Linked DNA regions of Xenopus tropicalis. Each later gene encodes a partner of the first gene's protein in a complex. Links are inferred from orthologs where the notes say so. Each region holds a gene or a part of one and is shown on either strand. Other genes may lie near its edges.

Evidence for each region. Proteins that work in one complex are often made in the same cells at the same time.
Region 2: exosc3 (region 1) and exosc4 share a complex: the UniProt entries of both Homo sapiens proteins name them as parts of the RNA exosome core complex. The link is inferred for Xenopus tropicalis from reciprocal best matches to the Homo sapiens genes EXOSC3 and EXOSC4.

The regions. Positions count from the first base shown.
Region 1 is NC_030677.2:113,703,458-113,708,977, reverse strand, and holds part of exosc3 (exosome complex component RRP40), read left to right. Parts: intron 1-2,088; coding exon 2,089-2,238; intron 2,239-4,311; coding exon 4,312-4,463; intron 4,464-5,520. UniProt on the Homo sapiens protein: Non-catalytic component of the RNA exosome complex which has 3'->5' exoribonuclease activity and participates in a multitude of cellular RNA processing and degradation events.
Region 2 is NC_030682.2:151,307,461-151,314,123, forward strand, and holds exosc4 (exosome complex component RRP41), read right to left. Parts: upstream 4,332-6,663; 5' UTR 4,328-4,331; coding exon 4,157-4,327; intron 2,571-4,156; coding exon 2,364-2,570; intron 1,628-2,363; coding exon 1,256-1,627; 3' UTR 638-1,255; downstream 1-637. Other genes in the region: E3 ubiquitin-protein ligase TRIM7, read left to right, coding at 6,016-6,663. UniProt on the Homo sapiens protein: Non-catalytic component of the RNA exosome complex which has 3'->5' exoribonuclease activity and participates in a multitude of cellular RNA processing and degradation events.

The DNA.
Region 1 (5,520 bases):
AACATAAAACCCAAATTCTGTTTTTTATTAACATATCCATGCCCTAATATTATAAAGGCATTTAAAAATCCCAGCTGTCAATCATGTATTGCCTGCCCCGCCTCTATGCCTTAGGCATAGAGGCGGGGCAGACAATAACTTTCCATTTAGCACTTCCTAGATTTCGCTGCTTTTTTTACTTTTCCCCTCCCAGGCATCTGGTCCTACGTTCTATCACAGTGCTGTCCAACTGGCGGCCCGCGACCCCCCTCTGTGTGGCCCCCCACCTGTCTGGCTGCTTTGATGGCTTACTCTTGTGTAAGATTTAAATGGTATCAGTACTGAGATTAACTGGCCCCCTGCATGGTTCTCACGTCATATTCAGGCTGTAATCCCTCTGTATTGTTTAAACATGTAATCCCCTGTGTTGTTCACACCTTTTAGTCCCTGCATTGTTCACCCCCTGCAGTGTTCACACCTCAGGCTGTAATCACCCCCATTGTTCCCCTGTTCACACCTCAAACTGTAGGAGCAGTAGAAACCCACAAATAATCCCTGCACACTACAAAAAGAACATATACTGAGGTGGTACTGCAAATAATTTTTTTTTTTAATATATAGTTATTGTGCAGACTGTAGGAGCAGTGACAGAATTGTGTCACTGTATGCTGCCTGTGTGTGCGCCATACAGCATAGGGCAAGCAGAGTATGGCACACACAGGCAGCATAGGGCAGCAGAGTATGGCACACACAGGCAGCATAGGGTAGGCAGAGTATGGCACACACACACAGGCAGGGTAGGGCAGGCAGAGTATGGCACACACAGGCCAAGTATGGCACAAACCAGCCAAGAATGGCACACACAGTCAAAGTATAGAACACGCAGGCTGGGTAGGGAAGGCAGAATATGGCACACACAGGCAGGGTAGGGAAGGCAGAGTATGGCACACACAGGCAGGGTAGGGAAGGCAGAGTATGGCAGGTTTTTGCTGTACTACAACCATTAATATGGGTATGGTCATGTGATAACACGGGTGTGGTTTCAAGTGGGTGCGGTTTCAAAAAGGGGAGTGGTCAAAACTGGCTTCCATTATCGGCCCTCCACCACGTAGGTCGGAAAAATTCCGGCCCTCGGTAGCACCGAAGTTGGACAGCACTGTTCTATCACATAAACACACTGCTTGCTGCGATTCTGTAATTCCAAGACTGTAGTGTAAGTCAAGTTTATTTTGCTCAACTAATTTGGAATTATTTCTTAGGGTGATAGCTCCCCTTTAAGGTGGCCATACACATTCAGATTTTAGTCTTCCTCTAACGAACGTTCGGATATCGATTGTTTAAATGCGACAATCTAAAACTAAGATTTAAATTATAGGACAAAATCCTAAAATAATAAATTAAAGGATGTTTTGAAAGTAAAAGACAGCAATCGTACGAAAGTGACATCCTAGAAATGCATTCCAAGCAGGGCTGGAACTAGGGGTAGGCAGAAGAGGCACCTGCCTAGGGCGCAATGGTGGCCCCAATGGGGGCGCCAGTTAGCTTCCTCTTCTTTTACCTACCTCTAGTTCCGAACCCTGTTTCCCCACTGCAGCAGCCCTGGCAACCCCACCACCCAGTGTGCAGGCATGTCTTCTCACTTGCGCATGCAAGAGGGGAGGGGAGGGGCAAGCCGACCAGGTTGCCTAGGGCGCCTGGTTGGCTTGTCCCAGTACTGCCCCCAAGGATGTTTTGTATAATTATGTTGGTGCGTATATGTATGTATAACTTTCATTTTTTTTTTTTTTTTTATATATGGTGTAAATGTCTATATGTCTTGATGTTTTTTCCCACACAGCTTTATAAATTATATAAATACATTTTATTTTATAAACATATTTACTGATTTAACCACACGCACACTTTTACACAGTACAAACACGTGCATTTAACCACACACATACATTTTAACACACACGCACACACATACATTTTAGCTCCATTATGCTTGGGTGTATTATATTGAGATACTCATGGGATGGGGGTGCAGTTAAACTCTAAACATAATCTGTTATTGCTGTGAAGGAACAACGGGGACACACTTTAATTCTTCCACTTGTTATCTTATAGTATGTACCAGTGAAAGGAGACCATGTTATTGGAATTGTAACTACAAAATCAGGAGACATATTTAAGGTGGACGTTGGAGGCAGTGAGCAAGCATCATTGTCCTATCTGGCATTTGAAGGTGCAACAAAGAAAAACAGACCAAATGTTAAGGTAAAATGGTTTTCTGAATTTTAGAAATTTATCAATGTAGAACTCTGAGTTAGAAAGAAGTGTCCCATCCACATGCTATCATCATGGTTGTAAAGAGTTAAGGGATAGTTTACCTTTAAATTAAGGTTTAATATGTTGTACACAGTCTTCTAAGTCAGCCATTTTGTGTATTTAAATTGATTGTTATTGTAGCTGTTTGGTTGCTAGGACTTAATTGTCCCAGCAACCAAGCAGCAGTTTGAAAGTCAAAATGAAAAATGAATAGGAAAGATAAGCAATAAAAAAAATAACCATAGGAATTGAACTGCCTCAAGAAACATGGCTTAAGAACTATCAAAACGTCTGTAAAGGGAGCTACAATGTAGCAATAATGCAAAGCTCACTTAAACTATTCCACAGGACCTATTATGTGCCTGATAGACTTTGTCGAATCTACCCTACATCCTCGCCACCTTGCTTCAGGAACTGTACTTCACGAGGCACCATGTGGCACATCTGGTGGACCTGCCCAGTGGTCCAAGAACTGCGGACATTCTTACTAAACTGTTTCACACAAACATTACCCCATGTCCAAAGGTAATGCTTCTAGGACACAAACCACAAAACCTCAATAACCCAGCACAACGCCTTACACAGCACGTATGCATGGCAACAAAGATCCATATCGCAGCCCAATGGAAATCAAACTTATTATATGTTGAAAAGGTCCTGGAAAAAATTTTATATATACACACAAATGAGACTCTCAAATACCAACTGGAAAATGAAACAGAGTTATACCTGCAGATATGGGACACTTGGATACTAAATTAAGACTATGGGTAGCGTCCCTACCCCCAACCTGAGAAAAAATAATAGACAACTGTGGGAAAACGTAAACCAATAACAATGAATATCTCATACCAACACTGAAACACTGAGCGCAAAAAGTTATGTTGATTTCTGTTCTTTCTCTTTCCTTTTTTTTTTATGTTTCTTCCCTTCTCTCCCCTTATCCCCCCCCCCCTTTTTTTTCCCTCTCCCCCTCATATTGCCCTATTATGCACGTAAATATGCAGTTGAATGTAGAAGACTCTCTAAGTCTGATAATGCATCTAGCAAACAATATGCTATGTCTACAAAATATGTTAAAACTAAGAAAAATAAAAGTATACAAAAAAAAAAAAATAACCATAATTAGCCTCAAAGCCATTCTGTTTTTGAATGGATCAATTATTAGATATCATATTTGGATTCAGGCCAGAAAGAAGCAGAATAGAAAAGCTAGAAATGCTAAAACCATGAACAAAAATACAAAAAAATTGGAAAACAAGGAGAACTATACCCCCGGGCTATAAAAGCCCCCTTAACTATCACTGCCTTGACCCCCCTCACCTCTCCCTTACTGCATAGTTTCTAACTTTTAAAAATGTCCCTATCGCTAATCCTAAGCTAAAAGAGCAGAGTAGTGCAGCTGCGTACCTGGCTGACATCTTCCCTGTGAGTGAACAGTCTTCGGGTCTCTCCACCTTGCTTGTGCATACCCAGGGGGTATAGTTCTCCTTTAAAGGGGAACTTCCACATTGAGCTGATAGCCTTAGGGTTATGACCAACCATGGCATTACCTTGCCTTTTGTTTTACCGTTCCCTGGCGTAACCCACAAAAACACATGTATGGCTTGCTTCTTATTGTCATCCGTTTAGAGGATAGGTGTGATTTGTTTGAGAATTTGAAAAACAAAAAAAACGAAATAATTTGTAACTCTTTTAAACAGTTTTCAAATTACAATTACACAGAATCTCCAATGCCTTTAGGTAGTTAAGCAACAGTTGAAGCCCTGAAGACTGTATATCCCTTATGTATATCTTTTACATATGTTGATGAGACAGGTGACTGGACAGTTTGAGTAGGAGATATGTAAAGTGAGTGAAAGTGGAGTAGATGAACAAACTACATAAAATTTCCAGCTCCAGTTAATTTACATTTTTTTCAAAGCAAATCACACAGTAAAAACTGAAAGGTCCAATTAAAGACATTAAACAAACCCAGCATTTTTTTTCCTTCATTCCTAACTGAATTTTTCTTTGTTACAGGTTGGGGATCTTGTGTATGGGCAGTTTATTGTTGCTAATAAAGACATGGAGCCAGAGATGGCTTGCATAGACAGCTCCGGAAAAGCAAACGGGAAGGGTGTCATTGGACAAGATGGACTCATGTTAAAAGTCTCTTTGGGTTTAGTAAGAAAGTAAGCGACATCTTTATTTTCCCTTACGTAGTAAGCGCAAGCTAAAATGCTTGTGGGTATAAACAACTGTAACCTATAATAATTAGTTGAGTCATCTAGAAGGATCTGCTAGTATGTCAGATAGCAAAATCATATTTCATATTTCCTTCTGACGAACTACGGATATTGATTGTTCGTTTAAATGCGACTATCTAAAATTAACTAAGATTGAAACTGTAGGTAAGTCCTTAAAGTAATAAATCAAAGGATGTTCTGAAAGTAAAAGACAGCAATCGTACTAAAATTACATCCCAGAAATGCATTGTAGGTCTCCCAAGGATATTGTCAGATCATACGAAACATAGTTTTGTTGGTGCGTTTATGGCCAGCATTAAGTCAGCAGCTTATTGTTCCTATGTAAGGGGCCCTTAGGCACAAAGCAGGTTTGAGAATCATACTGGCACGTTGATGTGGCTCTCTCCTGACTGCCTCCCTGTAAGCGCAAGCTAAAATACTTGTGGGTATAAACTACTGTAACCTATAATGCTGAGCAGTTGACTCATCTAGAATAATCGGCTAGTATGTCAGATAGCAAAATCATATTTCATATTTCCTTTTTGTAATAATTGTCTCCTCCTGTGAGTAAACATACAAGGATTCAGAAATAACTTTATACATCTCTCAAAGAAGAAGTTAACCTTTTTTTTCTATCTTTAAAATTACTCTAAACAACCCCCAGAATAATACACCTTAGTCCTTGCATTCAGTCTCAACTGGTTTCTGAATTCTAAATTGAAATTTCCAGCTCCTTTCCTCTACTTCCTGGTACAGAATGAAGCCTCGCCCCTCTTCCTGCTGAGCTCTCTTCAGCAAATATTAAAAACTTGTGATTATATATTTGTGATTCTTATAGTGCAGAATTTGCAGTGTTTAAAAGAATCTATAGTCAACTGATGCTGTATGTTTTAAACAAAATCCACGCTGGTGCATAATATTTACTAATCAGTAACAAAATTTAATGTTTTAGAATTGTAATAAATCACTGTATTGATGGATGCACATGCATCTTTATTGATTC
Region 2 (6,663 bases), on another chromosome or scaffold:
GGCTCTTTGCTTCCCCTGTGGGCGGCTCTTTGCTTCCCCTGTGGGCGGCTCTTTGCTTCCCCTGTGGGCGGCTCTTTGCTTCCCCTGTGGGCGGCCCTTTGCTTACCCCGTGGGCGGCCCTTTGCTTACCTCGTGGGCGGCCCTTTGCTTCCCCTGTGGGCGGCCCTTTGCTTACCCCGTGGGCGGCCCTTTGCTTACCCCGTGGACGGCCCTTTGCTTACCCCGTGGGCGGCCCTTTGCTTACCCCGTGGGCGGCCCTTTGCTCCTCCTGTGGACGGCCATTTGCTCCTCCTGTGGACGGCCATTTGCTTCCCCTCTGGGCGGCCATTTGCTTCCCCTCTGGGCGGCCATTTGCTTCCCCTCTGGGCGGCCATTTGCTTCCCCTCTGGGCGGCCATTTGCTTCCCCTCTGGGCGGCCCTTTGCTCCTCCTGTGGGCTGCACACACAGCGCGCCACCAAATTTTTTGAAAACGCCCACTTTTTGTGGCCAAAGAGAGCCACGCTACGGCAAGCAGCAGGGGCAGGAAGCGCTCCCAGCATTCCCTGACTGGATCTCCCACCCTGTTCTAAAGGCCGCCTTCACCCCCCCTGCTGAGAGCAGTTCTGGGTCAGAGGAAACACACACAGGATTTATCTGTATTATAACAAAAATATTTTTATCACTTTTCATTTTAATATCCAAAATATGAAAAGGAGTCGGTCACCTGAGTTAACTTTTAGTACGATGTAGAGAGAGATATTCTGAGACTATTTGCAATTGGTCTTCATTTTTTATTATTTGTGGTTTTTGAATACTTTCACTTATTGTTCAGCAGCTCTCCAGTTTCAGCAGCTATCTGGTTGCTATGGTGCAACTTACCTTAGCAACCAGGGAGTTGTTTCAATGGGAGACTGGTATATGAATAGGGGAGGGGCTGAATAGAAAGATAAGGAATAAAAAGTAACAATAACAATAAAACTGGAGCCTCACAGAGCAATAGGGTTTGGCTGCCGGGGTCAGTGACCCCCATTTGAAAGATGCAAAGAGTCAGAAGCAAAAATAAATAATAAAGACCAATTGAAAAGTTGCTCAGAATTGGCCAATCTATAACATACTAATAGTTAACTTAAAGGTAAACCCACCCCATTACCTGTAATTCAAGATACAAGTCAGGCCCCACCCCCTCCTGTTTATTACGCAGTCCTGAGAGAAAGTAGATCGTCATTCGAGTGAGTTGCCTGGGCAGGAAGCCCAAACTAGCCGAGCCAATCAGATTCAAGCTGCTGTGCGGTCCCCCAGCAGGGTAGTGAGCTCCTGTAAGTGCTCCCGCACCACCTGATCCAGGACAGCGTACACATCCTTGCACGCCTTGCTCGCGGCATCCATCACCCGCTCCAGGTGATCCTCGTGCAGCCGCGAGTTCATCTCCAGCAGCGCAATCTGATCCGACTTGGGGAGGAGGGCCAGGGCGAGTTGGGGCCCTCCGGCGGCTTCTTCCACGTAGCTGAGATCCGCGAGGGGCGTGTCCTCGATGAAGCCCGCCGAGCTGGCGCACACGTAGTCGCGCATGGGAATGCCGGCGTCGATCACGGCCAGGGTGGCGGCATTCACACATGTGCAGTAGTTGCCCCCGTCTGCTTGCAGGATCTGGGCAGGGAGAGTCATGTGATCATATCCAGCGCAGCACAACACGGGAGCCAGTATGGCAGCACCAAGATACCACATACATGCACCACTGAGATATCCCCACATAGTGACTCCCAGGAACTACTCTTGGTGGCCAGGGGGATGCTGGGAATTTTAGTACAGCCCAAGGGCCACAGATTGGGGACCACTGACTAAAGGATTTGGGGGGTTCACCTTTAAGTTAACTTTTAGTACGTTATAGAATGGCCAATTCTAAGCAACTTTTCAATTGGTCTTCATTATTTATATTTTTTATAGTTTTTTATCTATTTCCCTTCTTCTTCTGACTCTTTGCAGCTTTCAAATGGGGGTCACTGACCCCGGCAGCCAAACCCTATTGCTCTGTGAGGCTCCAGTTTTATAGTTATTGTTACTTTTTATTCCTTATCTTTCTATTCGGCCCCTCCCCTATTCATATACCAGTCTCTCATTCAAACCACTCCCTGGTCGATAAGGTAATTTGGATCCTAGCAACCAGATAGCTGCTGAACAAGTGAAACAACTAAAAAACTACAAATATAAAAATGAAGACCAATTGCAAATTGCCTCAGAATATCACTCTCATACTAACAGTTTAACTCAAAGGTGAACCTCCCCTTTAAGGTCAATTTAAAGTGAAACAGCCCCTATTTAAGCCCCGCACTATTGTTACAACTTGCCGATGCCCCACCCACTGGCTGATGCCCCTCCCACTCACCTGCACGTAGATATCTATCTGTGAGCGCGGGTACAACTGGGTGAGGATGGCGGCCTCGAACGTCTGCTTTAGGTGCAGGGTCATCTCGCTGGACTTGCGGTCCCCGTGGGGGCGGCGCTTCCTCTCGCCGGTGCTGAAGGTCGCCATACTGTACTGGCAGTTCACCACTGAGCGGTCGTGGAGCATTTTACTGCGAGAGCCGCGGATCTGTGGGCACAGCGTTACGGGCACCGTTACACATGGAACTGGGGTATGGGGGCGGGACTAGCAGTGGGCACAGGCAGCCGTGTGTAGGCAGGGTAAGTATCCCAGCAGCAACCACTTACCCACCCCCATACTGTGCCAACCCCTTACCCACCCACCCCCATACTGTGCCAACCCCTTACCCACCCCCATACTGTGCCAACCCCTTACCCACCCCCATACTGTGCCACCCCTTACCCACCCCCATACTGTGCCAACCCCCCCCATTATCCCACCCCCTACTACTGTGCCACCCCCTTACACCCCCCCCATACTTGCCAACCCCTTACCCACCCCCATACTTGCCTACCCCTTACCCACCCCCATACTTTGCCTACCCCTTACCCACCCCCATACTGTGCCAACCCCTTACCCACCCCCATACTTTGCCTACCCCTTACCCACCCCCATACTGTGCCAACCCCTTACCCACCCCCATACTGTGCCAACCCCTTACCCACCCCATACTGTGCCAACCCCTTACCCACCCCCATACTGTGCCACCCCCTTACCCACCCCCATACCCACCCACCCCCATACTGTGCCACCCCCTTACCCACCCCCCATACTGTGCCAACCCCTTACCCACCCCCATACTTTGCCTACCCCTTACCCACCCCCATACTTTGCCTACCCCTTACCCACCCCCATACTTTGCCTACCCCTTACCCACCCCCATACTGTGCCAACCCCTTACCCACCCCCATACTGTGCCTACCCCTTACCCACCCCCATACTGTGCCAACCCCTTACCCACCCCCATACTGTGCCAACCCCTTACCCACCCCCATACTGTACCAACCCCTACCCACCCCATACTGTACCAACCCCTTACCCACCCCCATACTGTGCCAACCCCTTACCCACCCACCCCCATACTGTGCCAACCCCTTACCCACCCCCACTGTGCCACCCACTTACCCACCCCCATACTGTGCCAACCCCTTACCCACCCCCATACTGTGCCACCCACTTACCCACCCCCATACTGTGCCAACCCCTTACCCACCCCCATACTGTGCCAACCCCTTACCCACCCCCATACTGTGCCAACCCCTTACCCACCCCCATACTGTGCCACCCCCTTACCCACCCCCATACTGTGCCAACCCCTTACCCACCCCCATACTGTGCCACCCACTTACCCACCCCCATACTGTGCCAACCCCTTACCCACCCCCATACTGTGCCAACCCCTTACCCACCCCCATACTGTGCCAACCCCTTACCCACCCCCATACTGTGCCAACCCCTTACCCACCCCCATACTGTGCCACCCACTTACCCACCCCCATACTGTGCCACCCACTTACCCACCCCCATACTGTGCCACCCACTTACCCACCCCCATACCCACCCACCCCCATACTGTGCCAACCCCTTACCCACCCCCATACTGTGCCAACCCCTTACCCACCCCCATACTGTGCCACCCACTTACCCACCCCCATACTGTGCCACCCACTTACCCACCCAAGTAACCCAGCGGTCTCTCCCCTATAGTAATGCCTCTGAGCCATTCAGCCCGTCCGTGTGGCCCCAGCACTCACCTCATGGGGCCCATATACCACAGCCAGGGCCTTGGTGTTCCCCTGCTCGATATAAGCGGAGCCATCGGCCTGAGCGAACACTCCCATCCTGGCCCGTATCTTGCGCAGCTCCCCGGCTTTCCTGCCATCCACCCGGTAGCCCTGGTCCGACAGCAGCTCCAGCCCCGCCATCCCGCACCACGTTCTCACGGTATAAACTACAACTCCCAGAAACCACCGCGCCGCCACTTTCCGTTCCTCTTTCCGGAAGTGTCTGGGTGCCCGCCTCCACGTCACATAAAGGGGCGGTGCCAAAGTGATAGTTACTTCGTGTAGTAGAATTGCGCTTTTACCTCAGTTCGTTACAAGTGGCGCTAATTCCTATTGCTGGTCCCTATGGCGCTATTGTGCGGCCCAGTTGGGCTCTGAGCCATGTTTCCTATTTCACACTGTTATTTTCCCATGTTACTGAGCAGAAACTGTATATATATATATATTATGTTCCCCTGTCACTGTGCAGCCTACTCACCTATGGGTTTTCCCCATAGTAACCAGGAAAGGAACATTCCACTGAGCATTTACATTTTCCCTTTCACTGTAGATTCATAGTACTGACACTGTTACACAGCAAATAATTCCCTCTGCCATTTAACCTTTTATTCTTCAACCAACAAATGTATTTGTAGCTGTAATATTGGCGTGTAGGCGCCATCTCAGTGCCTTGTGCCTGAGTCTGAGCTTTCAGCCAGCGCTACACATTAGAACTGCTTTCAGCTAACCTATTGTTTCCCCTACTCCCATGTAACTGGGGGAGTCCCAAGCCGGACTTGGATTTCTTACTATTGAGTGCTATTCTGATACCTACTGGGAGCTGCTATCTTGCTCCCTTCCCATTGTTCTGCTGATCGGCTGCTGGGGGTGAGGGGGGGGGATATCACTCCAACTTGCAGCGCAGCAGTAAAGTGTGCCTGAGTCTGAGCTTTCAGCCAGCGCTACACATTAGAACTGCTTCCAGCTAACCTATTGTTTCTCCTACTCCCATGTAACTGGAGGAGTCCCAAGCCGGACTTGGATTTCTTACTATTGAGTGTTATTCTGATACCTACTGGGAGCTGCTATCTTGCTCCCTTCCCATTGTTCTGCTGATCGGCTGCTGGGGGGGAGGGGGGGATATCACTCCAACTTGCAGCGCAGCAGTAAAGTGTGCCTGAGTCTGAGCTTTCAGCCAGCGCTACCCATTAGAACTGCTTTCAGCTAACCTATTGTTTCTCCTACTCCCATGTAACTGGAGGAGTCCCAAGCCGGACTTGGATTTCTTACTATTGAGTGCTATTCTGATACCTACTGGGAGCTGCTATCTTGCTCCCTTCCCATTGTTCTGCTGATCGGCTGCTGGGGGTGAGGGGGGGGGATATCACTCCAACTTGCAGCGCAGCAGTAAAGTGAAACTGAAGTTTATTAGGGCTCAGGTCACATGGCTGTGGCACCCTGGGAAATGAAGAATATGGCTAGCCCCATGGGAAAAACAGATTACAATGCAGGATTCAGCGGGAGACGCTCTATTAACTGATGGGTTTTGAAAAAACATGTTTTCCCATGACATTATTGCTTTAATAGGAACAGTTCTGGGCTCCATCTGTTTGGGCTACTTTAGAGTCATTGGCTTTAGAGTCCTACATTGCAGATGTTTAGAGCTTGTGAAAGGTGCAGTGGCTACAAGTTGAGTGGGAAGAAGGGGTTAATAAACTGTGTGCTGAGCGCTCAGCTCCTTTCCGTGCCTCTGGCCACGCCTCCTGCCTTGGTGCCTGAGGGATCCAGTAAAACGAGTTTCGATTCTTTGTGACTCGGAGGAACTTTCCATTCTTTCTCCTTGTTCCACGATGGCGGCGGCTGCTGATGTGAGAGTCGAGGTAACGTGCACCGTGTGCCTGAACATTTACACCGAGCCCGTAACTCTGCCCTGCGGCCATAACTTCTGCCTGAGCTGCATTGGCAAAACCTGGGACTGGCAGGAAGGGATAGAGGAGCAGCCTTCCTGCCCCGAATGCAGAGAGAGATTCCGGACACGACCGGAACTCAAAAAGAACTCACGGCTGCGGAACATTGCGGAACATTTTCGTTCTGAGCAGCCAAAGCAAAACAAGACTGACATTTACTGTACCTACTGCGATGCTTCGGTGCCCGCTGCCAAGTACTGCGTGCGGTGTGAGGCTTCCCTGTGCGACAGTCACGTGCAACTACACAGCAGCGCAGAGGAACACGTCCTAGTGGAACCCACCGCCTCCCTGGCCAAGCGCAAATGCGCCGTGCACAACCGGCTGCTGGAGTACCACTGCCGAGAGGATGGCGCCTCTATCTGTGCCTCCTGCTGCCTGGTGGGGGCGCACCGAGGGCACAACGTGGAGCAGCTGAGTGAGGCCTCCGAGAAGGAGAAAAAGAAACTTAAAAAGGTTCTGGAATATCTGATCCCTGCCAAAGAGGTGACAGAGAAGAGTCTGCTGAAGCTGAAGGACAGCAGAGACAAGGTC